Linked DNA regions of Stegostoma tigrinum. The protein of the gene in region 2 interacts with the protein of the main gene of each other region in a pairwise test. Links are inferred from orthologs where the notes say so. Each region holds a gene or a part of one and is shown on either strand. Other genes may lie near its edges. The genes, in order: trim32, ubiquitin-conjugating enzyme E2 U-like and E3 ubiquitin-protein ligase RNF144B-like.

Evidence for each region.
Region 1: the proteins of ubiquitin-conjugating enzyme E2 U-like (region 2) and trim32 interact in binary tests that used the Homo sapiens proteins (3 or more experiments, as listed by UniProt). The link is inferred for Stegostoma tigrinum from reciprocal best matches to the Homo sapiens genes UBE2U and TRIM32.
Region 3: the proteins of ubiquitin-conjugating enzyme E2 U-like (region 2) and E3 ubiquitin-protein ligase RNF144B-like interact in a two-hybrid assay, tested with the Homo sapiens proteins (2 studies listed by BioGRID and IntAct). The link is inferred for Stegostoma tigrinum from reciprocal best matches to the Homo sapiens genes UBE2U and RNF144B.

What each region holds. Positions count from the first base shown.
Region 1 is NC_081382.1:14,830,396-14,841,413, forward strand, and holds the start of trim32 (E3 ubiquitin-protein ligase TRIM32), read right to left. Parts: upstream 4,862-11,018; 5' UTR 4,697-4,861; intron 1-4,696. UniProt on the Homo sapiens protein: E3 ubiquitin ligase that plays a role in various biological processes including neural stem cell differentiation, innate immunity, inflammatory resonse and autophagy.
Region 2 is NC_081361.1:49,099,300-49,109,802, reverse strand, and holds the start of ubiquitin-conjugating enzyme E2 U-like, read right to left. Parts: upstream 4,389-10,503; 5' UTR 4,338-4,388; coding exon of another isoform or gene 4,307-4,337; intron 1,708-4,306; 5' UTR 1,625-1,707; coding exon 1,559-1,624; coding exon of another isoform or gene 1,555-1,558; intron 142-1,554; coding exon 60-141; intron 1-59. UniProt on the Homo sapiens protein: Catalyzes the covalent attachment of ubiquitin to other proteins.
Region 3 is NC_081355.1:32,893,782-32,904,693, forward strand, and holds the start of E3 ubiquitin-protein ligase RNF144B-like, read right to left. Parts: upstream 4,742-10,912; 5' UTR 4,389-4,741; intron 1-4,388.

The DNA.
Region 1 (11,018 bases), on a different chromosome or scaffold from region 2:
TGGGTAGAGCAGTGTGGGGGAGAGTGACCAAAGTGACCGTTAGGTCACTGGGCTGTTTGTGGAGCAGGTGAGCTCAGAAAAACAAGGAGGTTGGTGTGTGTTGGATTTGAGGGGGGCTGTTGGATTTGAGATGGTGGGCGGGCATGTTGGATTTGAGGGCATTGGGGTTTAGATTTACAGGGGTGGGTTGGATTTGAGGGGTTTGGAGAGTTTAGATTTATAGGGGTGGGTTGGATTTGAGGGGCTTGGGGAGTTCAGATTCATAGGGGTGGGTTAGATTTGAGGGGTGGGTTGGTTTTAAGGGGGTTAGATTTATAGGGATGGGTTGGATTTGACAGTGTTGGGGAGTTTAGATTTAAAAAAGGGTGGGTTGGATTTGAGGGGGTTGGGGATGGGTTGGTTTTGAGGGGGTTAGATTCATAGGGGTGGGTTGGATTTGAGGGGGTGGGGTTGGGTTGGTTTTGAGGGGGTTAGATTCATAGAGGTGGGTTGGATTTGACGGGGTTAGATTCATAGGGGTGGGTTGGATTTGAGGGGGTGGGGTTGGGTTGGTTTTGAGGGGGTTAGATTCATAGAGGTGGGTTGGTTTTGAGGGGGTTAGATTCATAGAGGTGGGTTGGTTTTGAGGGGGTTAGATTCATAGAGGTGGGTTGGATTTGACGGGGTTAGATTCATAGGGGTGGGTTGGATTTGAGGGGGTGGGGGTGGGTTGGATTTGAGGGGGTGGGGGTGGGTTGGATTTGAGGGGGTGGGGTTGGGTTGGTTTTGAGGGGGTGGGGTTGGGTTGGATTTGAGGGGGTGGGGTTGGGTTGGTTTTGAGGGGGTGGGGTTGGGTTGGATTTGAGGGGGTGGGGTTGGGTTGGTTTTGAGGGGGTTAGATTCATAGAGGTGGGTTGGATTTGAGGGGGTTAGATTCATAGGGGTGGGTTGGATTTGAGGGGGTTAGATTCATAGGGGTGGGTTGGATTTGAGGGGGTTAGATTCATAGGGGTGGGTTGGATTTGAGGGGGTTAGATTCATAGGGGTGGGTTGGATTTGAGGGGGTTAGATTCATAGGGGTGGGTTGGATTTGAGGGGGTTAGATTCATAGGGGTGGGTTGGATTTGAGGGGGTTAGATTCATAGGGGTGGGTTGGATTTGAGGGGGTTAGATTCATAGGGGTGGGTTGGATTTGAGGGGGTTAGATTCATAGGGGTGGGTTGGATTTGAGGGGGTTAGATTCATAGGGGTGGGTTGGATTTGAGGGGGTTAGATTCATAGGGGTGGGTTGGATTTGAGGGGGTTAGATTCATAGGGGTGGGTTGGATTTGAGGGGGTTAGATTCATAGGGGTGGGTTGGATTTGAGGGGGTTAGATTCATAGGGGTGGGTTGGATTTGAGGGGGTTAGATTCATAGGGGTGGGTTGGATTTGAGGGGGTTAGATTCATAGGGGTGGGTTGGATTTGAGGGGGTTAGATTCATAGGGGTGGGTTGGATTTGAGGGGGTTAGATTCATAGGGGTGGGTTGGATTTGAGGGGGTTAGATTCATAGGGGTGGGTTGGATTTGAGGGGGTTAGATTCATAGGGGTGGGTTGGATTTGAGGGGGTTAGATTCATAGGGGTGGGTTGGATTTGAGGGGGTTAGATTCATAGGGGTGGGTTGGATTTGAGGGGGTTAGATTCATAGGGGTGGGTTGGATTTGAGGGGGTTAGATTCATAGGGGTGGGTTGGATTTGAGGGGGTTAGATTCATAGGGGTGGGTTGGATTTGAGGGGGTTAGATTCATAGGGGTGGGTTGGATTTGAGGGGGTTAGATTCATAGGGGTGGGTTGGATTTGAGGGGGTTAGATTCATAGGGGTGGGTTGGATTTGAGGGGGTTAGATTCATAGGGGTGGGTTGGATTTGAGGGGGTTAGATTCATAGGGGTGGGTTGGATTTGAGGGGGTTAGATTCATAGGGGTGGGTTGGATTTGAGGGGGTTAGATTCATAGGGGTGGGTTGGATTTGAGGGGGTTAGATTCATAGGGGTGGGTTGGATTTGAGGGGGTTAGATTCATAGGGGTGGGTTGGATTTGAGGGGGTTAGATTCATAGGGGTGGGTTGGATTTGAGGGGGTTAGATTCATAGGGGTGGGTTGGATTTGAGGGGGTTAGATTCATAGGGGTGGGTTGGATTTGAGGGGGTTAGATTCATAGGGGTGGGTTGGATTTGAGGGGGTTAGATTCATAGGGGTGGGTTGGATTTGAGGGGGTTAGATTCATAGGGGTGGGTTGGATTTGAGGGGGTTAGATTCATAGGGGTGGGTTGGATTTGAGGGGGTTAGATTCATAGGGGTGGGTTGGATTTGAGGGGGTTAGATTCATAGGGGTGGGTTGGATTTGAGGGGGTTAGATTCATAGGGGTGGGTTGGATTTGAGGGGGTTAGATTCATAGGGGTGGGTTGGATTTGAGGGGGTTAGATTCATAGGGGTGGGTTGGATTTGAGGGGGTTAGATTCATAGGGGTGGGTTGGATTTGAGGGGGTTAGATTCATAGGGGTGGGTTGGATTTGAGGGGGTTAGATTCATAGGGGTGGGTTGGATTTGAGGGGGTTAGATTCATAGGGGTGGGTTGGATTTGAGGGGGTTAGATTCATAGGGGTGGGTTGGATTTGAGGGGGTTAGATTCATAGGGGTGGGTTGGATTTGAGGGGGTTAGATTCATAGGGGTGGGTTGGATTTGAGGGGGTTAGATTCATAGGGGTGGGTTGGATTTGAGGGGGTTAGATTCATAGGGGTGGGTTGGATTTGAGGGGGTTAGATTCATAGGGGTGGGTTGGATTTGAGGGGGTTAGATTCATAGGGGTGGGTTGGATTTGAGGGGGTTAGATTCATAGGGGTGGGTTGGATTTGAGGGGGTTAGATTCATAGGGGTGGGTTGGATTTGAGGGGGTTAGATTCATAGGGGTGGGTTGGATTTGAGGGGGTTAGATTCATAGGGGTGGGTTGGATTTGAGGGGGTTAGATTCATAGGGGTGGGTTGGATTTGAGGGGGTTAGATTCATAGGGGTGGGTTGGATTTGAGGGGGTTAGATTCATAGGGGTGGGTTGGATTTGAGGGGGTTAGATTCATAGGGGTGGGTTGGATTTGAGGGGGTTAGATTCATAGGGGTGGGTTGGATTTGAGGGGGTTAGATTCATAGGGGTGGGTTGGATTTGAGGGGGTTAGATTCATAGGGGTGGGTTGGATTTGAGGGGGTTAGATTCATAGGGGTGGGTTGGATTTGAGGGGGTTAGATTCATAGGGGTGGGTTGGATTTGAGGGGGTTAGATTCATAGGGGTGGGTTGGATTTGAGGGGGTTAGATTCATAGGGGTGGGTTGGATTTGAGGGGGTTAGATTCATAGGGGTGGGTTGGATTTGAGGGGGTTAGATTCATAGGGGTGGGTTGGATTTGAGGGGGTTAGATTCATAGGGGTGGGTTGGATTTGAGGGGGTTAGATTCATAGGGGTGGGTTGGATTTGAGGGGGTTAGATTCATAGGGGTGGGTTGGATTTGAGGGGGTTAGATTCATAGGGGTGGGTTGGATTTGAGGGGGTTAGATTCATAGGGGTGGGTTGGATTTGAGGGGGTTAGATTCATAGGGGTGGGTTGGATTTGAGGGGGTTAGATTCATAGGGGTGGGTTGGATTTGAGGGGGTTAGATTCATAGGGGTGGGTTGGATTTGAGGGGGTTAGATTCATAGGGGTGGGTTGGATTTGAGGGGGTTAGATTCATAGGGGTGGGTTGGATTTGAGGGGGTTAGATTCATAGGGGTGGGTTGGATTTGAGGGGGTTAGATTCATAGGGGTGGGTTGGATTTGAGGGGGTTAGATTCATAGGGGTGGGTTGGATTTGAGGGGGTTAGATTCATAGGGGTGGGTTGGATTTGAGGGGGTTAGATTCATAGGGGTGGGTTGGATTTGAGGGGGTTAGATTCATAGGGGTGGGTTGGATTTGAGGGGGTTAGATTCATAGGGGTGGGTTGGATTTGAGGGGGTTAGATTCATAGGGGTGGGTTGGATTTGAGGGGGTTAGATTCATAGGGGTGGGTTGGATTTGAGGGGGTTAGATTCATAGGGGTGGGTTGGATTTGAGGGGGTTAGATTCATAGGGGTGGGTTGGATTTGAGGGGGTTAGATTCATAGGGGTGGGTTGGATTTGAGGGGGTTAGATTCATAGGGGTGGGTTGGATTTGAGGGGGTTAGATTTATAGGGGTGGGTTGGATTTGAGGGGATTGGGTTGGATTTGAGGGGGTTAGATTTATAGGGGTGGGTTGGATTTGAGGGGGTTAGATTTATCGGGGTGGGTTGAATTTGAGGGGGTTAGATTTATAGGGGTGGGTTGGATTTGAGGGGGTTAGATTTATAGGGGTGGGTTGGATTTGAGGGGGTTAGATTTATAGGGGTGGGTTGGATTTGAGGGGATTGGGTTGGATTTGAGGGGGTTAGATTCATATGGGTGGGTTGGATTTGACGGGGTCGGGGAGCTTAGATTTATAGGGGGGATAGATTTGAGGAACACTGCTTGTCCAGACGCTTCTAAGCCTAAGGGTCGAGCTATTAGGCTTCGGCGAGGAATCCGAAAGACAAACAAAACCGGCCTCGGATCAAATTTCAAAAACGCAGCGGTCTACCAACGCACTATATATAGAAACATTTTTTTTAAGAAAAAAGCAAGTGAAGACATTTACCGCTGGCTCAGTCCTTCAGGTTCTTGTCTTGATCGTTAGGGGAAGGGGGTGCGGGGCGGCCCTGGAAGCAGACCCCGCGCCTGCAGTGCGGCGCTCGCCTGTCATCCGCCGACCCCTGCGTGCGCGCGCACGCCCGCGCTCTTCCTGTCGCAGACTTCACGCTCGCCCGGCAGCTTCCAGGCCCCGTTGTGACGTCACCCGCCCCGCGCCCGACTGCATTTGTCGTCCTCCGCCAACGATGGAGCACACGTGAAACTGATTGGCTCTCCCCCGCTGTCAATCAAAATCCGCACCTCTCCTTCCAGGGTATCCAGCCCGGGAAGACAACGCGCGTGCGCAGTTGCGCCGAAGTGTGTTGCAAACCAAAATTTCCCCGCCCCGTTGAAGTTGTTTTATTTCCCCTTCGGTAGGATTGTGTGCAATAATGAGTGTCATTATTTTACTTGTACTTATGAGATATAAAATGTGCATGTTTATGAAGGTGGATCATTACTATTTTTCACTCTGCCAAGTTCCTTGCCTTTTATTTCCAAACGATTTAGCGCTGTTGTATCCGTGCCGTAGCGATATCCCAGTGATAAATGAAGCGTACACGTTTTGCAAAATCGCACTGCTTGACCATCGATGCCGAAACCTAAATAAAAGCATACTCGTTCTGCAAAATCGTACTGCAAAGTATATTCCACTATTTTTGCATTTTTTGAAAAAAAAAGAACTTGCATTTTCACAATCACTGGTTATCGCCAAGTTCTTATACATCCCCACCAACACTGTAGACTATTAGGTACTTGTTTTGAAGTGTGGCCCGAGTCCGTTTTGAAAGTAAAAACAAAGGAATAACGTGAGCACATCCCCCGTGGGAAGTTTTGAGTTGTGATACTGGTGTACAATTGTGCAGCTTGTACAGAACATTGTTCAGTGCTTAGGAAACAGTTTCCGAATACATGGAAAAACTTTTCTGCTATGGGAATACGGTACTGGTAAAGCTACTTGTCTCAGTGTAAATGAAGAACATGATTGATGTGTATTCCTCTGGATCTTGGATCCAGTCAATTAGAAATAGTAAGAAATTTGGCATTCTTCAGAAGAGAAGAAAGCCTAATGAGATCTGAGATAATGGGAACTGCAGATGCTGGAGAATCCAAGATAATAAAGTGTGAAGCTGGATGAACACAGCAGGCCAAGCAACATCTCAGGAGCACAAAAGCTGATGGGCCCGAAACGTCAGCTTTTGTGCTCCTGAGATGCTGCTTGGCCTAATGAGATCTGTTTGGATTCTTCAAGCAGATGGAAGGCATTCAAAAAGGAATCCAAGCAAGCTGTTAACGTGGCAACAAATTCAAATATCAGACCACAAATAAAAAAAAACATTGAAAAATGTATCATAAGGGAAGTCAGGGAATCTTTTTCACCTAAAAGAAACTGGCCTGAATTTTGTGGTGGTTGGGGATGAGCATGTGTGTCTGGAACATGCCAACCAATATTTCTTTTTACAACAACACATTGCTCTCTAAAACCACTGGAGTAAATCTTTGCAATTGAATGACTGTAAGTGCTGTGAACTCCATCCATTTTCCTGTCTGCCCCAGTTGCTTTAGATAAGGGAGTTGAGGGTATTGGGGAACAGGAATGAAGTTTAGTTGAGGCCACATCTTGCGATCTTGGCAAATGACAGATCCAGCTTAAAGGGCTGAATGGCTTATTCTTGATCCTAATTCCTGTGTTCCTACTTCAGTCCACAAATTTTGGCCTATTAGGTTTATGGAAACAATTGCAAGGCAGGATCTTTGAAATAGTTGGTAAAACTGTGTTGGGTGACTATTTGATCTGTCGGAAAAATTTTGGTTTGGAGACACAATAATGAGCTGATAGATTAAAAAGAGACAGGTTTGTTAACTTTTCCTATTCCTGAATAATATTAAGTCCACACAAGTCTTTGGCACAATACGATAAAAAAACAGGAGTAAAGAATAGATGAGCTCTGTGTGATTAGATATTAACTGGACATCAGGAAAGGAAGTGAACCAGATCTGATAGCTAAATGTGAAGATTTTGCTTAATACTCAAAATGCTTGTTTTGAGATGGTACATCGAGACAGCACAGTGACTCAGTGGTTAGCACTGCTGCCTCACAGCACTAGGGGCCTGAGTTCGATTCCACCCTTGGGTGACTGTTTGGAGTTTGCACATTCTCCCTGTGTCTGCGTGAGTTTCTTCCCACAGTTCAAAGATGTGCATGCTAGATGGATTGGCCATGCTAAATTGCCCATTGTGTTTGGGGATTTGTTGATTAAGTGGGTTATGTAGGGATTGGCGGGATGCTCTGAGTTGCAGTGTGGACGTCTTGGGCTAAAGGACCTGTTTCCACACTGTAAGTATTCTATGGAGACTGACTGGAGCCTTATTTCTGTGTTAACGGTGTGAGTAAAACTGGACAGTATCTTCAGAGTGTTAGCTATTGATGCATTATTATTAAGGTGATGGAACATTGCTAGGCACCTGATTTCTGATCTACTAATGGGAACTTTAATAGTTTTTGTTTCAGATTACATTGTTCAGAATATTGCCATATTTGGGTAATTGCTTAGTTATTATTTATTTGTATTCTTTGCCTGAATGTGTTAATATTTCTATACCAGATTTAACTTATTTTTTGAACTAATATGGAAGATTTCAGGAATAAAGCCCTTCAATGACACCGTAAGATTGAAAATCCAGTATTTAAAGACAAGTTATTAAAATGGTTTATCGAAATCGGGAAAAAAGCCTTTCACACAAAAGAGCTCCATGATCTATGAATTACGGTCTGATGCTGCTTGGCCTGCTGTGTTCATCTAGTGTTACACCGTGTTATCGCAGATTCTCCAGCATTGGCAGTTCCTACTGTCTCATGATCAATGAATTGTTTGATTTTCATCATTTAAGGACTAGTTTATTATGTTTATTATGTGCGATCTTATCAAGCACTCTGTAAAAATCAAGTAAATCCCTTGATCGAAGAAGTCATACTTGCATGATGAGATATTAGTGAAATAACTCCATGCAGATGGTATCCCAACACCAAGTTGCCTTTCGTTTACACATGGAGAATTCTTGGCACTGATCCAGCTTCCTCAGAGCCAGCTCTCAGAGTGAACAGTCTGACACTTATGTTCTTAGTATCAGCCAGGGGTCCCTGATTGGACCAGGTTAACAGCCCCAATCATGGAACTCGTATTCTATGAGGTCCACCTGGTTAACCTCGGTCCAATCATTACAATTAGATCAATAAATCATTCAGCTATAAAGATCTGTTTCAGACCAAGTGTTGTAATCAGGATATTGGCATTAACTGCAGCTCCATGCTTTTGTTTTCCCTTGTGTCTCAGTTAAATTTTGAAGTGTTAATAATCATGGTGCAGACAATATGGAAAAAAAACAATGTGTCAAGGCGAGGTAGATTTTTGATGGGTACTCCGAAGCAGAGGGTGGCTTTGGTTGTTAGTGTAAAACAGATGGCATTGATTTAGGCACCCATTGTTTTTAATTCCATTGACTTACTGTATATTGAAGATGTCGTGTGATACAGTTTTAATATGAGCCAGACTTTATAAAAGACCTTAAAGAAAGGGAACACTTAGGAGGCAGCAATCATAATATGGTAGAGTTCAGTCTGCAGTTTGAAAGAGAGAAGGCAAAATTGGACGTAATGGTGTTACAGTTAAATAAAGGTAATTACAGGGGCATGAGAGAGGAATTGACGAAAATCGACTGGAAGCAGAGCTCAGCGGGGAAGACAGTAGACCAACAATGGCAGGAGTTTCTGGGTGTAATTGAGGACACAGTACAGAGGTTCATCCCAAAGAAAAGAAAGATTATCCGGGTTGGGATTAGACAGCCATGGCTGACAAAGGAAGTCAGGAAATATATCAAAGAAAAAGAGACAGCCTATAAAGTGGCCAAGAGCACTGGGAAATCAGAAGATTGGGAAGGCTACAAAAACAAACAGAGGATAACAAAGAGAGCAATAAGGAAGGAGAGGATCAAATATGAAGGTAGGCTAGCTAGTAATACTAGAAATGACAGTAAAAGCTTCTTTCAATACACAAGAAACAAACGAGTGGGAAAAGTAGATATTGGGCTGCTCCAAATTGATGCTAGAAGGCTAGTGATGGAAGATAAGGAAATAGCTGAAGAACTTAATAAGTACTTTGCGTCAGTCTTCACAGTGGAAGACATAAGTAGTATGCCAACAATTAGGGAGAGTCAGGGGGCAGAGTTGAGTACGGTAGGCATTACAAAAGAGAAAGTGCTAGAAAAGCTGAAGGGTCTAAAAATTGATAAATCTCCTGGCCCTGATGGGCTACATCCTAGAGTTCTGAGGGAGGTGGCTGAGGAAATAGCGGAGGCTTTGGTTGTGATCTTTCAAAAGTCACTGGAGTCAGGGAAAGTCCCAGATGATTGGAAAATTGCTGTTTTAACTCCCTTGTTTAAGAAGGGATTAAGGCAAAAGATGGAAAATTACAGGCTGATTAGCCGAACCTTGGTAGTTGGTAAAATTCTAGAATCCATTGTCAAAGATGAGATTTCTAAATTCCTAGAAGTGCAGGGTCAGATTAGAACAAGTCAGCATGGATTTAGTAAGGGGAGGTCGTGCCTGACAAACCTGTTAGAATTCTTTGAAGGTGTAACAAGTATGTTAGACCAGGGAAACCCAGTAGATGTTATCTATCTAGACTTCCAAAAGGCCTTTGATACGGTGCCTCACGGAAGGCTGCTGAGCAAGGTGAGGGCCCATGGTGTTCGAGGTGAGCTACTGGCTTGGATTGAGGATTGGCTGTCTGACAGAAGGCAGAGAGTTGGGATAAAAAGCTCTTTTTCGGAATGGCAACTGGTGACGAGTGGCGTCCTGCAAGGTTCAGTGTTGAGGCCGCAGCTGTTCACGTTATACGTTAATGATCTGGATGAAGGGAACGGGGGCATTCTGGCGAAGTTTGCTGATGATACGAAGATAGGTGGACAGGCAAGTAGTACTGAGGAGGTGGGGAAGCTGCAGAAAGATTTAGACTTTTTAGGAGAGTGATCCAGGAAATGGCTGATGAAATTCAATGTGAGTAAATGTGAGGTTTTGCACTTTGGAAAAAAGAATACAGGCATGGACTATTTTCTAAACGGTGAGAAAATTTACAAATCAGAAGTGCAAAGGGATCTGGGAGTGTTGGCCCAGGATTTTCTCTCGGTTAACTTGCAGGTAGAGTCCGTAATTAAGAAAGCGAATGTAATGTTGTCGTTTATCTCAAGAGGGTTGGAATATAAAAGCAGCAATGTGCTTCTGAGGCTTTATAAGGCTCTAGTTAGGCCCCATTTAGAATACTGTGTCCAATTTTGGGCCCCACACCTCAGGAAGGACATACTAGCCCTGGAGCTTGTCCTGCAATGATTCACATGGATGATCCCTGGAATGGTAGGTTTAACGTATGATGAACAGCTAAGGATCCTAGGATTGTACTCATTAGAGTTTAGAAGGTTGCGGGGAGATCTAATAGAAACTTACAAGATAATGTGTGATTTAGAAGGGGTGGACGCTCAGAAGTTGTTTCAGTTTGGCGGGGAAACTAGGACCCGTAGGCACAGCTTTAAAATTAGAGGAGGTAAATTTAAAACTGAAATGAGACGACATTTCTTCAGCCAGAGATTGGTGGGCTTGTGGAATTCATTTCTGCAGAGTGCAGTGGAGGCTGGGACATTGGATGCCTTCAAGGCAGAGATCAACAAATTCTTGATATCAAAAGGAATCAAGGGCTACGGGGAGAGTGCAGGGAAGTGGTGTTGAAATGCCCATCAGCCATGATTTAAACGGCGGAGTGGACTTGATGGGCCGAATGGCCTTACTTCCACTGCTATGTCTTATGGTCTTCTGGTCTAATATCAGTATCTCCAGGTGCAAGGTCTAAGCCAGGAGTTGTTGGACCCATAACGAGTGCTCATGACATGGATTTACAAGTTGGTAAACAGTCCCAGAATTCTTTCACCACTTCTCACTATCCCCAGAGAGAAGGCCAGGTGTGAAGAAACTTTAAAAAGAAATGCGTATCAGGAAGCTGAATCAACATTGTTTATGTTAAACTACTAAATTCATCCTCTTCGGTCTAAACTCAAATGATCCTTTGACCACTATGATTTCTGTTCTTAACTGGGGCACTGCAGTTGCTTGAACGATTTAATGGATGCTGCCTGATGTGCTGTGATCTCCAGCATTTGTTGATTTCAATTTAATGATGGTCATTCTGTGTTTTGTTTCAACCTTATGCACAAAGTGGATTGTCACAGGACTAGCAATTAT
Region 2 (10,503 bases):
CTACTATACATGATTTTTCAGAAATTTTTTTTAAAAAATTTCTTTTAGATCACACTTACCTTCCCAGAGGGAATCTTTCAATCCCTGAACTGTGGCCACCCACTCTAACAGATCGTCCCTAACTGGGGACACATTAATGCCCTGCAGTTGTATAAAAGTATATTGTACTATTAAAGTGACTGTGTAACTTTAAAGATACATATTCATTAGAAGCCCTCCTCCCATCTCTAGATTCCATGTAACATTCAGCAACCTAGTTCAGCAGTGAGCAAGGATATCCAGGCTTCCACAGTAAAATAATCTACCAATTCTGTGGCATGGTGGCTCAGTGGTTAGCACTAGTGCCTAACAGTGCCAGCAACCCAGGTTCAATTCCAGCCTGGGATCACTGTCTGTCTAGAGTTTGCATGTTTTCCCTGTGTTTGCGTGGGTTTCTGCTGGGTGCTCTGGGTTTCCTCCCACAGTCCAAAGATGAGCATGTTAGGTAGATTGGCCATGCTAAATTGCCCTGTGGTGTCCAAAGATGTGCGGGCTAGGCAGATTAGCCTGAGGGGATAGGATGGAGACTGGGTTTGGAGGTTTAGTGCAGATTCAATGGCCTCTTTTTCTACTGTAGGGAGTCTATGACTCTACCATCCTGGCTCACTTGAATAGATGCTGTTACCCACACCACTGTACCAGAACATGAATCGTTCTCTTCAGGAAAACAAAGTTAAACAGGCAGAAAAGAAGTGCACTTGTACACCTTGGAAATCCTATTTATCAGTTAAATATAAATTCCTGCTTATCAGATAAATTATTCATTACCACACCTACGTTTTAAACATTTTGTCTCCAGTCCCTAATTGTAAAACATGGAAAAATGAACTGGCAGTCTGCATGGCAACAAATATTAGATTGCTTAAATTTCACATACAGAATGTTCACTGGCTTAAATTTCACTGAGATGGTCAAACAATTATCATCATTTTGTACAGACTGGCTCAACATTTTTATACTTACTTAAATACAAACAATTTAAAAATACCAACCACCACAAAACCAAACAATTCACTTAACTCATTCATCATATAACCATAAAACACTCTGTGGCGAAGCCAGTCTCAGGGGATACAAAGTGTATGAGGTCTAATAATAGGGTGGCAGAGGGAAGGGAAGATTTAAGAAATCAAGTAGGAGGAAGAAAAAGAACAAGGCAAGCAGGAATACAAAGGCAACAGTGAAATAACATGACATAATATTAGTGAAACTGAAAGGGAGAGTGGGTAACAAAAATAATTTGAGACTGGAAATTAAACAGAAACAGTTATTGGGCAAGAAAAAGAAAGCAGGTATGTCTGTGATCAATGCTTCAAAAGTTCAAGTTGACCAAATATGGAAATCCAAAGCAGGAAAATGACTGATGAGATCAATCAGAAAGGGGTCAAATCACTTTGCTCTGACCCCAGATTTGCTGTCAAATTGAGGGAGAAACTGAGGAAAGGCAGTCTGTGTGAAAGTGCAGTATTTCCGGTCATACAAGGTCGACTAATATTGCAAAATATTCAGACTTACTTACAAAGAGTCTAGTTTCTTGAAGTTTAGCATGTTCTCTTTCCAGTAATAAGTATGCCTTGGATTGCATGGCCTTGCAGCAAAATGACTCACCAAATGAATAATCTCCTTAATCATGTCAGTATAAAATATGGCACTGAATATTTCCTCCACCTTTGTGGTGTCAAACAAACCAGAAAGTGCAATTTAATATTATACAATATTTATATTAAATGAACAAAATACAATTAATACGTTAATGAAACAGTATCAGTCAGTCAGTTATTATGGGAAATAACAAAAAGAAAAGTGATTCGATATAAAATGGCAAGATGGCCATTTGAACTTTTGTGGAAACTTGGTTATCCAATAGTAAGAAGTTATTCTGCTTAATATTTTCCACTAAGTGCTCATCGTGTTTTGATTGACATGAGTTATGTCATCAAAATTAATATGAAATTATACTGTATGATGTTAACATTAGATTATTTTCATTTCCTACTTTGAATGATATTCTGGGATAAGATTATTTTTAATCATTGTATATTTGTCCCCTTTCTTTTCTCACCTTCAGGCTAGAGGCTCGGAGTTCTGCAGCAAGTAACTGACCTCCCAACCCGCCAAAGTTTGTCCACCATCTATAAGGCTCAAGTCAAGAGTGTGGTGGACTGTTGTCTGGATGTGTACAGCTCCAAAAACACTAAAGAAGTTTCATGCCACTGAGAATAAAGCAACCCAATTGATTGGCACCCTATCCACCACTTTCAACATTTCACCATCTATGAAATGCAGTGCAATAAACCACTAAGACTCTTCTAACAGCACTTCCCAAACCTGTGACCTATAGTACTCGAAAGGCAGTGGCTGCAGATCCATGGGAACAACCCAACTATAAGTTCTCCTCTAAGTCACACACCATCTTGACTTGGAATTATATCATCATTCCTATCCTGTCACTGGATCAAAAATCCTTCCTAACTGAACTATGGATGTCACTACGTCCTGAGGGTTGTAATGGTTTTAATGGTTCAAAAAGGCAGCTCACAATCACCTTCTCAAGAGCAATTAGGGATGGGCAATAAATGATGGCTCAGCTGGCAAAGCCCACATCTCACAAATGAAGTAAAAACCAAACCTTGAGAATTTTGTTGGTCACCACTTCCCATTTTTGAGGCCTCTATCAATTACATTTAAAAAGCAGCTTCAAGATTATGTTCCAAGGTTTTACACCACACAATATGACACAAGTAATTCACTTACATTTCAACAGCAAGTTTCTATTACAACTGAAATCTAAGGTGAGGGATGGTACAAGGGGTATTGAGCTGACAGGAGATGTTAAAAAGGAGAAATGTAGAGGCGTTGAGCTAAAGCAGTTGTAGGGTCATGAAGATAAATGTTGGGTTAATAGACTGAGGGCAGGTATAGAAGGCACTGTCAATAGTATAGGAGCATGAAAGGAGGGAGATGTTGCAGCCACTGATATTGGATGAAAGGGAACATTCAGTTGAAGTTAGACAAAAAGGGTAACAATGGTTAAGTACAGGGATATTGAGATGAGTGTAGTGTTTGATTGCCTGAGTCTTGCAGCGGGGAGTTTTTAAGCTAAAGGAAGTCATCAGAAGCACACATTGGGCTTCTATTGGCAGGAACAGAGATTTGAGACTGTGTATGGGGGGTATTAAAACTGTTCATGGGGATTTGGAGGTGGTGCAGGCATATTGAGGGTGGGTTTAATTAGCAGATATTAAAGGGGGTGATTGAAGCATGGGTGTGGGGGATTGATAGAGTAAAAGGTAGTATAAAATTTAGAGAACATTGCAGGGAGTACTGAGGTATTGAGGGCTGTTTTAGGGGTGAGGAGGTGTACTAGATACCAGAGGTACTGACAGGTATTTAGAGGGAAATGAGCAAAATTAGTGTAAAAGGAGAATTTCAGAGATAGTGTGGGGGAATCACAGTGTAGTGAGGGGATAACAAGATACAGCAAGGGTGTTAAGGGATAGTTGGAGGCAATCATAGGACCTAGGAGTAATGGAGTGTTTGGGCAGGATGTGGGGTTAGTGAATGATGAAGGGATGACGTGGGGACTACAGGATGATAAAGCATTGGGGGTGACAAGAGTGTTCAGGGTGACAAAAGATTTGGGGTGAATGAGAGGGATTAGTGCATGATGAGAGGGTTTCGAATGATAACAGGATTAGAATGATGGGGAAGATTAAAGGGCTGATGGGGGTTAAGAAGGTGATTGGGGTTAAGGAGGTGTTGGGGGTGATAGGGCAGATAAGGGGGTGATGGGGCAGATAAGGGGGTGATGGGGGTGATAGGGTGACAGGGCGAATACGGGGGGAGTGGTGATAGGATGGATATGGCGACGATGGGGGTTAAGGGGGTGATGGGGAGGTGATAGGGTGGATAAGGGGGTTATGGGAGAGTTAAGGGTGTGATGGGGGTTAAAGGACGATGAGGGGTAAGTGAGCCATGGGGAGGGAGATGTGGTTTGGGGATACTAACTGCAGTTAGAGGGTATTATTGCAGGATGATGAAGGACCAATCGGACCTGAGCTGCTGCCTTCCCCAGTTTCTGATTTCCGGGTGAATTGTCTCCTTTCCTGGTTCCAAGTCCAGTCTGTTCACTGCCTTCTGGATCTTCACAGGGATCCGCCAACACTTAATACAACTTTACTAAAGATAATATTCAAAGAAATCCACTTCCTTCAGAGAGTGAATGACAAAAATGAACGAAGCTTTAAAGTTTCACGACAATAAATACCTTGGGAAACTGACAGGGATCCCCACTCCATTTCCAGCAGCTCGCCTGCCACCTAAAGTGTTGCTAGTTGCCTGGTAACGAGGGCTGGGGCGATGCTCCCCGCGCCCCCTGCTGGTCCCACACTGTCATTGCAACAGAATGCCAAACAGGGCAAAGTCCCTCAATTCCATCTTCCTGTCCGCAACTCATTCTAACCTTGCTCTGAATTCCTCTCAAAAAATTAATATAAAATTTAAAAAAAACTCCCCACCAATCCCATCTTCACATCATCTATCATAACCCGAGAATTCAGATAGCAAACGCAGTATTGTCGAAATAAAAATAGAAATTGCCACAGAACTCTGCAGGTGTTGAACTTCTGTGGATCAGGAGAAAATAAGAGTTAACGTTTCAAGTCCAGTGAGGAAGGAGGGTCACTGGCTTCGAAATGCTAACTCTGCTTCTCTCTCCACAGATACTGCCAGATCTGCTGAATTTCTCCACAATTTTGTTTCAGATCTTCAGCATCCGTACTTCTTTGTTTTACAATATTGTTTCATGTTGTCATCTGTGAACTTTAACTTTGGCTAGTGTCATCAAACAAAGTAATAAATTTCAGTTAGATAAGCCTTGGATGAGAAGGGTCGTTGCTATGGCCTTGAAGTCAAGTATACCTGAAATAGGCAATGAGCTAAAGTAGGTAATATTAAGGCAATGCCTGTTTATTGTTTCAGAGACAGTAGGAACTGCAGATGCTGGAGAACCTGAGATAACAAATTGTAGAGCTGGATGAACACAGCTGGCCAAGCAGCATCAGAAGAGCAGCAAAGCTGATGTTTTGGGCCCAGACCCTTCTTCAGAAAAGGGTCTTCTTCAGAAAAGTTTTCTGAAGGAGGGTCTAGGCCCGAAACGTCAGCCTTCCTGCTCCTCTGATGCTGCTTCGCCTGCTGTGTTCATCCAGCTCTACACCTTGTTATTGCTTATCCCTCCTTATTTATTCATGTTTTATTCAGTCAGAAGATGTATTTGTAAGGCTAAGCCAGCATTTATAGCACATCCTTGCTTGACTCTGCAGAATATGGTGGTGAGCTGCCTTCTATTAGTGCAGTCCCTGTGGGTTTAATTTACTTAATTGCTTTACTTAATTGTACTGAACTGCCGGAAAACCTGAACAAAAAAAATGCCAAAGAACTGAGGATCCTGGACATCAAAAAAAAACTAAAATTGCTGGTTAAACTCAGCAGGTTTGGCAGCATCTATGATCTACTCCACATTGGGGAGGTGAAACAGACACTGGGCAACCACTTTGTGGAACACCTACGTTCTGTCTGCAAAAATGACCCAGAGCTTTCTGTTATCTGCCACTTGAATGCAACACCGTGTTCCCTGGCCAATGTCTCCGTCTCAGGCTTGCTGCAGTGCTCCAGCTAAGCTCAATGCAAGCTGGAAGAACAGTGTCGCAATTTCCGCATGGGGGCCCTGCAGCCTTTGGGACCAATATTAAGTTCAAAAATTTCAGGGCCTGAGCATCTTCTCCCATGTCCTTACTCCAAACCCCACACATACTAGACCAACATGAGCTGCTACCATGACCAACCAAATGTCAACTACTAACAGTCCCCCATTATCAGCTATTCATTCTCCTAGGCTGACCTTTAACCATTCCTGTGCCTGTCTGACAGTTTTTCTCTCTCTGGGTTCCATCTGCAGCTATCCTTTACTTCTTCCCACTGCCCCCACCCCATCTTCAGCATAGTTACCAAATTTTTCCCAGCGACAATCAGCTCTGAAGAAAGATCACTTGACGAGAATTGATAATTCTGCTTTTTCACCATAGATGCTGCCAGACCTGCTGAGTTTCTTCAGCTATTTCTGTCACTGTGGCTAGAAATCCTGAATAACTTGCTGAGCTTTTTCAGAAGACATTTAAGAGTCTGTAAGGCTAGAAAAGGTAAGGATAGCAGATTTCCTTCCATAAGGGACATTCGTGAGTGAGATTGTCAAGCACATTGACAATGGCTTCATGGATATCATTTGTCCAGGTTTGAATTTAACAAAATTCAAACTTCAACGGCTGTCATAAAGGAGTTCAAACTAGTGTCCCAAGTCCATTAATCTGGGCCTTGCCAGGGATATTATTATCATCCGTCCCACAAATTTGATGAAAACGGAAACAAAAATTAATGAAATTTTCCAGTTGGTGGGACGGCAGTATTTGGAATTGATACGTTGATTAATTGATACAATTGGTATAACTTCCTGGAGAAAAAGACAAAGTAGAGCATTCTTCCAAAGTGGTTGGAAAATGAGAGTCTTTATGGCGTCGACGGAGTGGGAGGAGGAACACATAAATGGTGACAGTGCCAAAGCAAAAGACAAATAATGCTGGAAAACAAATAGAGATTTTAAGTGGGTGTAAATTAAGGTATGCAAATGAGGAAATCGCTGCGACCAGCTGAGAACAATGTTAACAATGCACAGTAATGACAGAAAAATAAAACAAAGAAACTAAAACAGGAATTGCTGGCAAAACTCCGCAGGTCTGTCAGCAGGTTAATTGATACTGCCAAACCTGCTGAGTTTTGACAGTAATGTCTGTTTTCATAATAAAAAAGATAAGGCTGAATAGGGGAAAAGGGATTTAAGGAAAAAAATACAGGACAAGGGTAAAACTCTGAAGTTGTGGAATCAATTTTGAGTCCAAGAGGCTATATTTTGTATTCCCTTCCCTTCCAGTTCTGAAGACCATTATAAACAGACTCAAAATGTTAAATCTGATTCTCTCACTTAGATGCTGCCAGATCTATTGTGTTTTCCCAGCACCTTTTTATTAAATTTCAGATTTCCAGTGTTTGAATATTTTGCTTTTAGATGGATATATTTGAAAGTGAGTGAGGGGAGCAAAGAAATTGAGATAGTAAATGTCATGCTGCCAGATCTCAAAAAGATCTGGAAAGGTTAAGAGGCTGGAGCATAGGGTCTTGGTGGAATGAGAGTTTTGAAAATGGGTTTAAAAAATGATCCTTTGCAAAATGTGGAAATTCTGCAAAGAAGCAAAGGTGAGAGAAGAAGAGCTAAGCATTGAGTCAAGCTCAAGAAATTCATTCAGATGTATGTGCAAGGGTGCAGGCCTGAGGCCTTTACCACATATCATAATGACTGTGGATAGTGTGAGTTAATTCTTTGGAAGAAAGAGAAACATGCAGTTGGCTAAATGTGGCCTTCAGTGTGGAAGCTCAGGTAACAGAGAGGCCTATGGTTTAGACCATAAGTCCATAAGACATAGGAGCAGAAATTAGGCCATTCAGCCCATCGAGTCTGTTCTGCCATTCAATCATGGCTGATAAGTTCCTCATCCCCATTCTCCTGCTTTCTCCCCATAACCATTGAAGACCTTGATAATCAGGAACCCATCTATCTTAGTCTTAAATGTACTCAGTGACCTGGCCTCCATTGGCTTCTGTCGCAGTGAATTCCACAGATTCACCACTCTCTGGTTGAAGAAATTTCTCCTTGTCTCATTCTAAAAGATCTTCCCTTTACTCTAAGGCTGTGCCCTCGGGTCGTAGTCTCTCCTACCAATGGAAGCATTTTCCCAACATCCACTTGTCCAGGCCATTCACTATTCTATGAGTTTCAACTGGATCCCCCCTCGTCTTTCTAAACTCCATCGAGTATAGACCAGAGTCCTCAAACTTTCCATTTCTGGGACCATTCGCATGAACCTCCTCTGAACCCACTCCAGAGCCAGTATACCCTTCCTGAGATACGGGACCCAAAACTATACACAGTACTCCAAATGTGGCCTGACCAGAGCCTTATAAAGCCTTGGTGGTACATCCAAGTCCTGTCAAAATAAATGCCAAAGTTGCATTTGTCTTCCTGACAACTGACTCAACGTGCAAGTTTACCTTGAGAGAAACCTGGACTAAAACTCCCAAGTCTCTCTGCACTTCAGACTTCTGAATTTTCTCCTCATTTATAAAATAGTCCATGTTTCTATGCTTCTTACCAAAGTGCATGACGTCACACTTTCCCATGTTATATTCCATCTGCCACTTCTTTGCCCACTCTCCCAACTTGTCCAAATCTTTCTGCTGCCTCCCCACCTCCTCACTACTACCTGTCCCTCCATCTACCTTTGTATCATCTGCAAATTTAGCCAGAATATCCACAGTTCCTTCATCTAGATTATTAATGTATAAAGTGAAAAGTTGTGGTCCCAACACTAACCCTTGCGGAACTCCATTTGTCACCAGCTGCCATCCTGAGAAAGATCCCTTTATCACCACTCTCTGCTTTCTGCCAGGCAGCCAGTCTTCTATCCATGTTAGCACCTTGCCTCTAACACCATCGGCCCTTATCTTACCCAGCAGCCTCCTGTGTGGCACCTCGTCAAAGGCCTTCTGGAAGTTCAGATAGATAACATCCATTGGTTCTCCATGGTCTAACCTGCTTGTTATTTCCTCAAATAATGCAGCAGATTTGTCAGGCATGACCTCCCCTTGATGAAACCACGCTTACTATACCCTACTTTACTATACACATCCAAATATTCAGAAATCTCATCCTTCACAATGGATTCCAAAATCTTACCCAGGTTAGGCCAATCTGCCTGTAATTTTCACTCTTTTGTCTTACTCCATTTTTAAACAGGGTTGTCATGTTTACAATTTTTCAGTCCTCTGGGACCTTTCCGGACTCTAGCGATTCCTGTAAGATCACCATTCATGCCTCCACTATCACTTCAGCTGTCTCCTTCAGAACTCGGGGGTGTAATCCATGTGGGCGTGATGATTTATCCACTTTCAAGCCATTCAGTTTTTCTAGTGCTTTCTCCTTGGTAATGGCCACCATACTCAACTCTGCCCCCGACTCTCTTAAATTTTTGAGCTATCACTTGTAACTTCCACTGTTAAGACTGACGCAAAGTAATTATTCAGTTCCTCAGCCATTTCCTTTTTCCCCACTGCTATCTCTCCAGTGCATTTTCCAGCAGTCCAATGTCCAATTTCGCCTCTCTTTTGCCCTAAAGAAACTCTACAGTCCTCTTTTATTTTACTGGTTAGATTATCCTCATATTTAATCTTCTCTCTCTTTATTTCTTTTTTTGTTGCCCTCTGTTGGTCTTTATAAGTTTCCAAGTCCTCTGGTTTCCCACTGCCTTTCACCACATTACATGCTTTTTCTTTTGCTTTTACGATCTCCCTGACTTCCATAGTCAGTCACAGTTACCTCATCACCCCTGTACCATGCGTCATTTCCCTCGGCATGAATATTTGCTGTGTCTCCTGAAATACTCCTAAATACTCCTGCCAATGCTGTTCCACTGTCTTTCCTGCTAGGCTCCTCTCCCAGTCTATTCTGCCCAGCTCCTCTCTCATGCCTCTGCAGTTGCCTTTATTCAGCTGTAATATCATTACCTCCGATTCTAACTTCTCCCTCTCAAATTGCAGAGGAAACTCAATCATATCACGAACACTGCCTCCTCAAGGTTCCTTCATCTTAAGCCCCATTATCAAGTCTGCCTCATTGTACAACATTAAATCCAGTATTGCCTGTTTCCTAGTGGGCTCCACCACGAACTGCTCCAAAAAGCCATCTTATAAACATTCCACAAATTCCTTTTCTTGCAATCCACTACCAATCGGATTTTCCCAGTCCACCTGCACACTGAAATCCCCCATGATCACCGTAACTTTGCCTTTCTTACACACCCTTTCTATCTCCTGGTGTATAATGTGCTTCAGCTCCTGATGATTGTACAGAGGCCTGTACATAATTCCATCTATGTTTTTTTCACTTGTGTTTCCTCAGCTCTACCCACACAGATTCTACATCATCTGATCCTTCTTTGTTTCTTACTATTGATTTGAGTTCATTTCTTACTAATAAGGCAACCTCTCCCCCTCTGCCTGTCTATCTTTTCCAAAGAATGTATATCCCTGGATATTCAGCACTCAATCCTGATCCCCTTGCAGCCATGTCTCCATGATGCCCACCACATCATACCTGCCAATTTCGATCTGCAACACAAGCTTATTTACCTTATTTCTTGTACTACGTGCATTCACATATAACACCTTCAATCCAGTCCTAGCCGTCCCTCTTCTCATTGTCACTCGTTTATCCATTGTGCTTGAAGTTTGATCCCTAGCCCTCTCCAAACATTCTGTCCTATCTGTGTCAGTGCTGGAGACTTTAACAACTTCTCCTGA
Region 3 (10,912 bases), on a different chromosome or scaffold from region 2:
CACTATGTTCAACACCATTCATGACTCCTTTGATACTGAAGCACTTCATGTTAAAATGCAACAAAACCTGGGCTGAAAAGTGTATCAGAGATAGTAGATACTGCAGATGCTGGAGAATCCGAGATAACAAGGTGTGGAGCCGGATGAACACAGCAGGCCAAGCAGCAGCTTAGGAGCAGGAAAGCTTTTCTGATGAAGGGTCTAGGCCCGAAACATCAGCTTTCCTGCTCCTAAGATGTAGCTTGCCCTGCTGTGTTCATTCAGCTCCACACCGGAACTGAAAAGTGGCAAATCATGTTGGTGCCAGACAAACCATCTCCAATAAGAAAGGGTCTGGCCACCATCTCTTGACATTCAATAACCTTATCAGCACAGAAATCCTCCATTATTAATACCCTGGGGTTTGCTGTTGAACAGAAATTGAACTGGACCAGTTATTTAAATACTGTGTCTATGAAAGCCAGTCAGAAAATAGGTGTCTCCAAAAAAAAATTTCACCTCTGATTCCACTACAAGGCCTAAGTCAGGGGTGTGATGGAATACACCCTTCTTGAAACTCCAACAATATTCAAGACATTTGGCACCACTCAGGACAAACAATCCACTTCATTAACACAACAGCCACAAATATTTATTCTCTCCACCATCAAGCTCAGTAGTAGCAGTGCGTGCCACCTACAAGATGCACTGCAGAAGTTCATTAAGGCTGCTTAGATAGCACCTTCTAGTGGTTGTGGGTTTCAAAGAATAAGCAGATACATGGGAACACTAATCACCTAAGAATTTCCCTCCAAGCCATTCACCATCCTGACTTGTAAATATAATCGCTGTTCCGTCAGTGACACTGGATAAAAATCCTTTGAAATGGCAATGGTGGCTACAGACTGCAAAAGTTCAAATAGGCAGCTCACAACCACCTTTTAGAGGGACGGGCAATAAATGCTGGCCTAGCCAGCATGGTCCGCATCCCATGAACGAATAAAACAAATCTAATTAAACAGACAAATGAGATTCCAGCTCAATGAATTAAAGATAGCTATTCAAGAAGAAAAAAACAGAAAGCCCCTCGTAAAAAGGGAAAAAAGGGGCATACGCCTCTTAGTAGTGCATTGATGTATCAAACTATGCATTGCTTAAGATTGCAATCAGACTTGCTTTCTGACTCTTTAGCAAGAGCTGGCTGAACCAAATGAACTGCTGCATCACACCGAACATGAATATGATGATACCAAGATAAGTTGTCACAGTCAATTCCTGCTCAATGGTGAGTCAGCTGGTTATAAAAAAAGGCGCAGCAATCAGTGTCATCATTAACAGCTAGAATCTCTTCATCACTATCCAGTCATTCTGACTGGAATACCTTGGTTTTGGCCTCAGCTAAAGTTGTGTGACTCTACAGTATCCAAAACCAAATATATCATCCACATTTACTGTCCAGGCTTGCACATGAAGAATGACTGTACAGGGGAAGATAGCAATTAGCCCAACCCCAATTAAGAGAGAAAAAAAGGACTAAAAACTGAGAACACTATGAGGAATGAGAAGAGGGATTAAAAACTTTGGATTCTGAACTTGCTGCACTTCTTGACCAACTGAACATGAACGTGGTGTCAATGGCAGCAGTATTCACAATTCCTCATCAGGAACAGCAAGATTCTGAAAAAAGGTAGGGCTTGAGGAGAGGGGAGAAAAGCCAAAAGGAGCTAATCCTGTAGGATCACTCACGTGATCACCTGTGAATCGCCATCTAACTGAGATATGATTGATCATTAACTTGGTCAGTTAAAACTGATTCAGAAATAGTAATTTTCTAAAGGGTTCAGGCCCGAAACATCAGCTTTCCTGCTCTTCTGATGCTGCTTGGCCTGATGTGCTCATCCAGCTCTACACCCTTGGTCATTTAAAAGCTAGATTTGGCCCTGTTACTAATTTAGTACCTGTCTATAAATGCCTCTTTTTACTGTAATCTTAATTCCTGTCCCTGGTTGGGTTACAAATAGAGGTCAGAATATGTCTCCTCATCTTCCTTTCCACCAAACAAACTCAAACTGCAGTAAAACATTCAATCCACTCTAAAGGCAAGACATGTTCATAATCTGAACATCCTTACAGTCTGTCAAACCAATTGAAACCCAGCCCTCAACAGTCTTGAAGAATATTGTACACAGTGGATATAAAATACTTGAACATGTCTATGCCATTCTGACATTAAACAATGTCCTGAATTTTACCCCAAGCAAAATCTATACAAATTTACCAGTGCTCTGCTATCAATATATAGAAGGCATTAGATTAAGCAAAGTATACTGAACCTGAAGACAAGAAAGATTTTTGATGGCCACCCCTATGAGGATGACAGCAATGTACTTTTTCTGCAATTGTTCTTTATTTTCATTTGGATTTAATAGTCCATTGGTTAAATTTTGAGAGTCAATACACGGCATTTTTTGAGTAATCCGGCAGTATAATCTCATACAGTTCAGAAGAAAACCATTTGGTTCATCATATCGGTGCTTCAAATGGAGCTACTCAATTTAGTCATACTTCCTTGACTTTTCACAAAGTCCAGCAAATCTTTCATTCAAGTAATTATCCACTCCCTTTTGAAAGTAACCACTATCTGTTTTTCAAGGTAGCACATTTCAGCTCATTAAATTGCTGCACTAAACATTTCTCACCTTCCCTTCTACACTGCAACTGTTCAAAAGACCAGCTCAACACAACCTTCAAGGACAGTTAGGGACAGACAATAAATGTTGGCCTGACAACTAGTTAACCCATATTTCCCCAGGAGTGAAAAGCAAAAGTTAGAAGTGATTACAATTCACAAGTTTTCCATTGGCTATAAAATGCTTATAGACATCATGAGGTTATGTAAAAGCACTATATTAAAGCAAGTCTCTTTCTGGTTTATTTGTTAATTATTTTATGCAATATGATCAAAAATTGAAAACTCAATTTTCCTTTTTTCTCTCTCTAATGACAGGAAATTTCTGAGACTTGGAAAAGGAAGGATCTGTCTGATAGCAGCAAGATAGAGGCACTATTAGAGATTTACAGTAATAGAACAGTCTGGTGAACAGGACAGAAGAGTCAAGTTATTGTCTCATTAGACTGTCCTGCCCTTGTTATGGCAACAAAACCAGATGCACAACAACTATCTGCCAACCACCGTGTTATAGAGGAACAGTTAGTGCTCTTCTTTGGCATGGTTTGAATCTCATAAGCACCAAGAATCTCTACATATGCCTTCTAATTTCAGACAGTGTGGCCACTGTCTAAAAGGTTACTCATTTTAGAATTGAAATCAGGCCATATTTACAATGACAGGACACTGTTTACCTAAGTCCCACTATCTCCACCATCTTACCTCTTTACGTTCCCTTCTCTCAAAACCCAGTGGAAGCCTGTCACCAGCAAGTCTCCATTTTATCAGCCACAAGGCACAGTGCATATCTCTGTCTTACCATTGTAAGGGCCACATTTTGGAGGAGGAACTAAATCATAGCAGCACAAAATAAGCTGTCAGGGGATGGAGCAGAAGGCTATTCTTCCTCACAGAGTGGATGATAATTCCACATAAAATTCACAGCAGTAAAAGCAGAACCAAAAGCCATTGATGGCCACACATCATCCGCTAGAACTCCCCCGAGACCAAAAAAGGTTGTTTAAAATTATGCATGCATATAACAATAACACCAAAAAGATAAGAGCAGCAACAGATGTCATCACTAAATTACTTTATCGACCTGATCAAAATTTTAGTGTAAAGTATTTAAACCCATTACTACAAAGGAACATATGATTCACTCCAGGTACGCATAGAAACACAAATCCAGGAGGAACAAGTGCCAATGTTTGGAGAGTTTGATCTGCTATGTTGATTGGCGTTGCTGATTTTAGACTGTAGAAACGCCAATGAGTTACCCACCTCCCAAAACCACAGAATACTTTTGACTTTGAAACCAATAAGAAATGTGGCTAGGTTTGACAAGATAAAATCAACATTTTTATTTCCAGACCAATCAAATGATAAAACAACGAGTGGTATTTGAAAAATCACCTTAGTTTTGCCAAAATAGTTCGCGTTCCAAAAGTGGTTATGCGACAAGGTTGTTTCAAATGTTACCAAAAGAACTCCTATTTACAGCAGACATACTTGCATAAAACCAGGTAGCTTATATATAAAAGGTATTTCTAAATAGTTATGTTATTGCTTTCTATAAATCCAACGCCTAAGGTGTGCCGCAAACAAACAATAAACAAAAATACCCCACTCCATACCAACCAAATAGAATTCTGTAACAACCTTACGGCACTATTTTAACTAAAATAAATTAAACAAATAAAGCTAGAACGGATCAAACATTTATTGTCACATTTCATACCTCTGAGGAGAAAATTTCAGCCCTGAAGGAAAGAAGCTGAGATCAGTGGAAGTTGTTTATCTGCTGAAATTAATGTGCAGCCTGGTACGAAAACCGACCTGTGCCTGGGAAAACACAGACACAGGCAGGCACACGATGCTACTTTTCAGTTGCTGCAGTTTTCTGAGTAGCTCTGCTGATTCGAAAGGCTTTCAGAAGTGTGCACGTTCCAGCGACAGACGCTTCAGTTTTTGGTAGGTTTGCTTTCACGATGTGTTGGCATGACTACAGTTTCGTGAATGACTAATTTGAAAACAAAACAGCTTTCTTTTTTAGAGCAAGTTGCCTCAACAGACATCCACGTCATAAGTTGTCTCCACCCATGGGAGGCTTGTGATTAAACAGGAAACTGAGCATGGAACTTCCTCCTTTCTCTGTGGGCAATTTAAATATTAATAAAGAAGACTTCAGTTTTGCGAACAACTGCTCGATGAGGGAAGCTAATCCCAGACTCCAGTTATAATTCTTGTTTGGGACTGTCAACATCCTGAATAAAGGTTAATGGTACTAACAAAATATTTATGATAATACATATCAAAAATGTCAATGGAAAGAAAAATAACAAAAATATGGTAACTATCAAAGACCCAACCCGAAAGAGGCCAGCCCCTCACCCAATCAGTTTATTCTGCACCAGAATATTCCATCTGAAATCTAATCAGTTTCCTGTATAGGTTCAGCATAAACTCCCTGGTCTTGTACTCCATGCACTGGCTAATGAAACATAACTACTGTATGCTTTATAAGCAACTCTCTCTATTTGTCCTGCTACCTTTAACAATTTGTACACAGATACTAATAAAAACCGAAAGAACTGTGGATGCTGTAAATCAGAACTGATTTCAGTTCTGAGGAAAGGTCACCGGACCTGAAACGTTAACTGTTTTCTCCTTCACAGATGCTGCCAGACCCGCTGAGCTTTTTCAGCCACTTTGTTTTTGTTGTTGTTGTTGTGTACACAGATACATCCAGGTCGCTGTAGGCCTGCACCCCCTTTAGAATAGTACCCTTTATTTTACACAGTCTCTCCATGTTCTCTGTGCCAGTGTGTAGCATTTCACACTTTTCCACATTGAACATCACCTGCTACCTATCCGTGTAATGCCAACAACTTGTCAACATATCTTTGTGAAGTTCTGCTTCTTTGAAGATTATCCCACGGTGTCGGCTATGAATGAGTGTGCGAATGGATAGCCAGTCACTGTAGTAGCAGGCATGTTTGCTAGAAACACTTGGTAAACTGGATTAAAAATTGGAGTAATAAAATGTGAGGCTGGATGAACACAGCAGGCCAAGCAGCATCTCAGGAGCACAAAAGCTGACGTTTCGGGCAGAGACCCTTCATCAGAGAGGGGGTTGGGGAGAGGGAACTGGAATAAATAGGGAGAGAGGGGGAGGCGGACCGAAGATGGAGAGTAAAGAAGATAGGTGGAGAGGAGATAATAGGGGGGGAGGTAGGGAGAGCATGGGTCAGTCCAATGGTATCAATGTGAACCCTGCAGCCCAATGGTATCAATGTGGACTTCACAAGCTTCAAAATCTCCCCTTCCCGCACTGCATCACAAAACCAGCCCAGCTTGTCCCCTCCCCCCACTGCATCTCAAAACCAGCCCAGCCTGTCTCCGCTCCCTTAACCTGTTCTTCCTCTCACCCATCCCTTCCTCCCACCTCAAGCCGCCCCTCCTTTTCCTACCTACTACCTCATCCCGCCTCCTTGACCTGTCTGTCTTCCCTGGACTGACCTATCCCCTCCCTACCTCCCCACCCATACTCTCCACCTATCTTCTTTTCTCTCCATCTTCGGTCCGCCTCCCCCTCTCTCCCTATTTATTACAGAACCCTCTCCCCATACCTCTCTCTGATGAAGGGTCTAGGCCCGAAACGTCAGCTTTTGTGCTCCTGAGATGCTGCTTGGCCTGCTGTGTTCATCCAGCTTCACACTTTGAGATGCTGGAGAATCCAAGATAACAGTTCCCATTATCACTAAAAATTGGAGTAGTCCACTACTGTGATAATGGGAACTGCAGATGCTGGAGACATCTCTGATGAAGAGTCTAGGCCCGAAACGTCAGCTTTTATGCTCCTGAGATGCTGCTTGGCCTGCTGTGTTCATCCAGCTCCACGCTTTGTTATCCTAGTCCACTACTGTCTTCAGTTTTGTGCTGGCTTCAGCATGTGTGCATCTGATACCTCCATGGACAGGTTGGCAACCAGCATGGAAATCTGGGTTCAGTAAAATGTTCAGTGGCAGCCAGAAATACATGAGAAACAACACTCCATCACTTCAGCCAAGGTGCTCAGCATCAACAGCAAGACAAGAGACGAGAAGGACATATGGAACCTTGATCTTACTTCAGGTGCCCCTTCCTCTGAAGAAGACAGGATGGTGGCAGCAGGCACCCAGGCAAAGGAGGAACCACAAACAGGTCTCCCACAAGTCTCCTCTCAGAATACTTCGCAAATGCCATATCCCTCCATCTTCACACTGCCTTGATCCCTAACACTGTGGAAGTTGCAGTTGAGAAGTGTTAGCCTACATCAGGGCAGAGCACACCTGGCGTGTCGGATTGAATGAATAATTTTACTGTCACATATATTTGGAAAATTAGAGTGAAAAGTGTTCTGTTGCCACAATCTGGCGCTATTTTGGATTACAAAATGATTAAGAAGAAATTACTTAAATAGAGCCTCATCTTCTCATCAATTGACAGAGGAAATATATATGCAGAAAAATAAGAAATAATGTTCAAACTTACAGTCCTTATTGTTAAGCACGGCCCCAGCTCTTCTTAAGGGGCTTCTGTAAGGCATTCGGGTCTCCGGGCTGCAGTGAGTCCCTATTTCTGGTCCATCTGATGCCCAGGAGATCCCGGCTCCACTGCCGCTGCCTTGTTGACATTGCTATGAGTCCCAATCAGGACCTACCGCAACCACAAACCTCGCTGCATTAGCCATGAGTCCCACTCCAGGCTCCTCCTACGAATGGGCCTATGACCAAGAAACACCCTGAGGGACATCCTCTCAAATCTTTCTGGGCAACAGGCTCCAATGTAGAGTTGGTTCCATCCACAAATAGGGACGTGAGGACTGCAACTAGATGCAATGGGCGAGTATGGGGGAAAAGAAAACTCAATACATAGGTAGTACAGGTGAAACTGATGTAAATACACTCTCACATCTTAAAATGTATGCATTTTAAATCATCACATGTCTGATCAATTGTCATGTTACTTGTACGACCTGGGTGTGCGGCAGCCACGTCAAAGACAAATTGCTTCTTCATACATCCTAGGGAAGATAGTTGTACTGGTGAAGCATGGCTATCCGAAATGCTTCTCAGAGGTAAGCAATCGAATTCAGATGTTCTTCAACCCTTATGTTCGTGGGTGTAGCCAAGACCTTGAGTGAGGAGCTCACTTAGTCCAAAATTACTGAGAACACTTTGTAATAGGTCCTTGCCTCCACTCGTGTTCTACATAAACTTGTGTGTGACTACACAATCATTTATGATTGCACATTTCTTTTCATTCTAAGTGTCTTAAAAAGGAACCTACAATCATTGTTCAATTAACATCCAAATTCTGCCTAGTAGAACAAACATGTCCACACTGCCCCAGCAGAGAGAAAAAAAACTTACTCCAACAACCTCTCTGATGAAGGGTCTAGGCCCGAAACATCAGCTTTTGTGTTCCTGAGATGCTGCTTGGCCTGCTGTGTTCATCCAGCTTCACACTTTATTATCTAGGATACTCCAGCATCTGCAGTTCCCATTAACTCTCTCCAACAACCGTGAATGTGTCCGCAGACATTTTTCATGAATATCTCTTATTTTCCTTCAGCATCTGGTCTACCACATTGCCGTGAGAACCATGCACACTTAAAATTTTAGTAGCCTTCCTTTAAATTAATTATTTGCATCACAGTATAATACTTCCAATCCCTACATCCCAAGACATTTTTCCATCCCCTCCCCTGTCAGCTTTCTGGAGAGACCACTCTCTCCGTGACTCCCTTGTTCGCTCCACACTGCCCTCCAACCCCACCACACCCGGCACCTTCCCCTGCAACCGCAGGAAATGCTACACCTGTCCCCACACCTCCTCCCTCACCCCCATCCCAGGCCCCAAGATGACATTCCACATTAAGCAGAGGTTCACCTGCACATCTGCCAATGTGGTATACTGCATCCACTATACCCGGTGCGGCTACCTCTACATTGGGGAAACCAAGCGGAGGCTTGGGAACCGCTTTGCAGAACACCTCCGCTCAGTTCGCAACAAACAACTGCACCTCCCAGTCGCAAACCATTTCCACTCCCCCTCCCATTCTCTAGATGACATGTCCATCATGGGCCTCCTGCACTGCCACAATGATGCCACCCAAAGGTTGCAGGAACAGCAACTCATATTCCGCCTGGGAACCCTGCAGCCATATGGTATCAATGTGGACTTCACCAGTTTCAAAATCTCCCCTTCCCCTACTGCATCCCTAAACCAGCCCAGTTCGTCCCCTCCCCCCACTGCACCACACAACCAGCCCAGCTCTTCCCCCCCACCCACTGCATCCCAAAACCATTCAAACCTGTCTCTGCCTCCCTAACCGGTTCTTCCTCTCACCCATCCCTTCCTCCCACCCCAAGCCGCACCCCCAGCTACCTACTAACCTCATCCCACCTCCTTGACCTGTCCGTCTTCCCTGGACCGACCTATCCCCTCCCTACCTCCCCACCTACACTCTCTCCACCTATCTTCTTTACTCTCCATCTTCGGTCCGCCTCCCCCTCTCTCCCTATTTATTCCAGTTCCCTCTCCCCATCCCCCTCTCTGATGAAGGGTCTAGGCCCGAAACGTCAGCTTTTGTGCTCCTGGGATGCTGCTTGGCCTGCTGTGTTCATCCAGCCTCACATTTTATTGCCCTACATTTGAGTTTCCCACTTTCCTCGACACAGCAAGAACTTCACCTGATAAACCCTCTTGACGTTTATTGGGCCAAACCCAGGACTATCTGTAGCCCACCCCTTGGACTTACTTTTGAGGACAGCCACAATTGAGCACGGCACAGCCATCTAACCAATGCCTCTATCATTCCACAACTGACTTACCTGTAACCCCTCTAGGGTGTTTGGACTTGACCTGCAGGACTGACAGTAGCTCAGTACAGACCAAAACGACAGGGATTTTTGGACCCTGACTGCACCAAGTGTCTGACTTACTGTGGCCAATTCCCCTAGATTAAGATGTGACGATGCCCTCGACTAAGTTTTCCATGACCTCAACTGATCAAAGAACACCCCTTCCCCTTCCTCTCGACTAAGGACTACTTCGCTTGGACTTTGAGACATGGTTATTTGGTTGAAGTACATGCAGTGTGTTTGCTATGTATGCTGCTGGCACATGCTGTAGGAGTGACACAGACTTGGCACAATGCTGGATGTCAATACGTCAACCCCATCAACTGGTCAGAGGTGGAAACTGGTGACAGGATGCCTAATTTCCTGTCTGCCCTAAGAAGCAAGACAAGCCAGAGAAAATGTGAGCCTGTAAGTACTGAATGAAGCAGCAATGCGCCAAAACACAAAGAAATGATGCTGCGAACATCCAAATAAGAGCAAAATGAGTGAGCACTAAAAAGACAAGCTAAAAGACCTAAGATGCACTCTGTGCAGGTGCATGAGATAGACGTGTGTCCCTGCTCGTAAAGTGAACCTGGCAGAAGCAATACAATATATAGCGTCAATGATCTCCAACATATAATAGTGTAGAGCTAAAATGTCTTCTGAATTTGTCTGAGGTGGTGATATGGTGAGACTGGCATTTTGCTGATTCTGACTTTGTTGGACAAAGGATGGAGGCGATTGCTGCTGCCCATAGAGCATGCCATTAGGAGTTTGTAAATGGGGCTGAATATGGAATCCCAGAAAAGCAAGCTGAAAGCTGCATCTGCCAGGTAGCCGCTCAGACTTTCAAGCTGGGAAATGACACAATATAATTTATCACTTGTACCTAAGGGAATCATGAACTGCATATAAATGAGGCCAGATTAGCTATTAATAAGATGCAAATGCATGGAACTAAAGTCCTCACTGCTTACTAGTGAGATTCTCATCTAGCCATTGAAACCTTTAGGGCAATATTGTACGTTTGTTGTGATATTGAGAATCAGATTTTATTTCATCCTCAGCACACTCTCCCAAATTGCTCACCATTGCCCATAATGCTCAAGGGCTGATGAAATTCCATGTTATGATTATTAATTTAAATAAAGGAACAAAAATTTACCCAAATTAACAGAAAAGTAATTCTCTTCCAACTAAGTTACTACAGTAAATTGTATCCCTTTTAGAACAAGTACTTCAAGCACTAAAAAGACTCTTTGGATCGTTTCTTCTTCCTCCTCCTTAGGAATTCCCTTCAGATCGAGATGACTGAATTCCACTCTGATTCAATGGGTTTGGAGTCAGCTGGTAAGTCTCATTGAAATCTGCA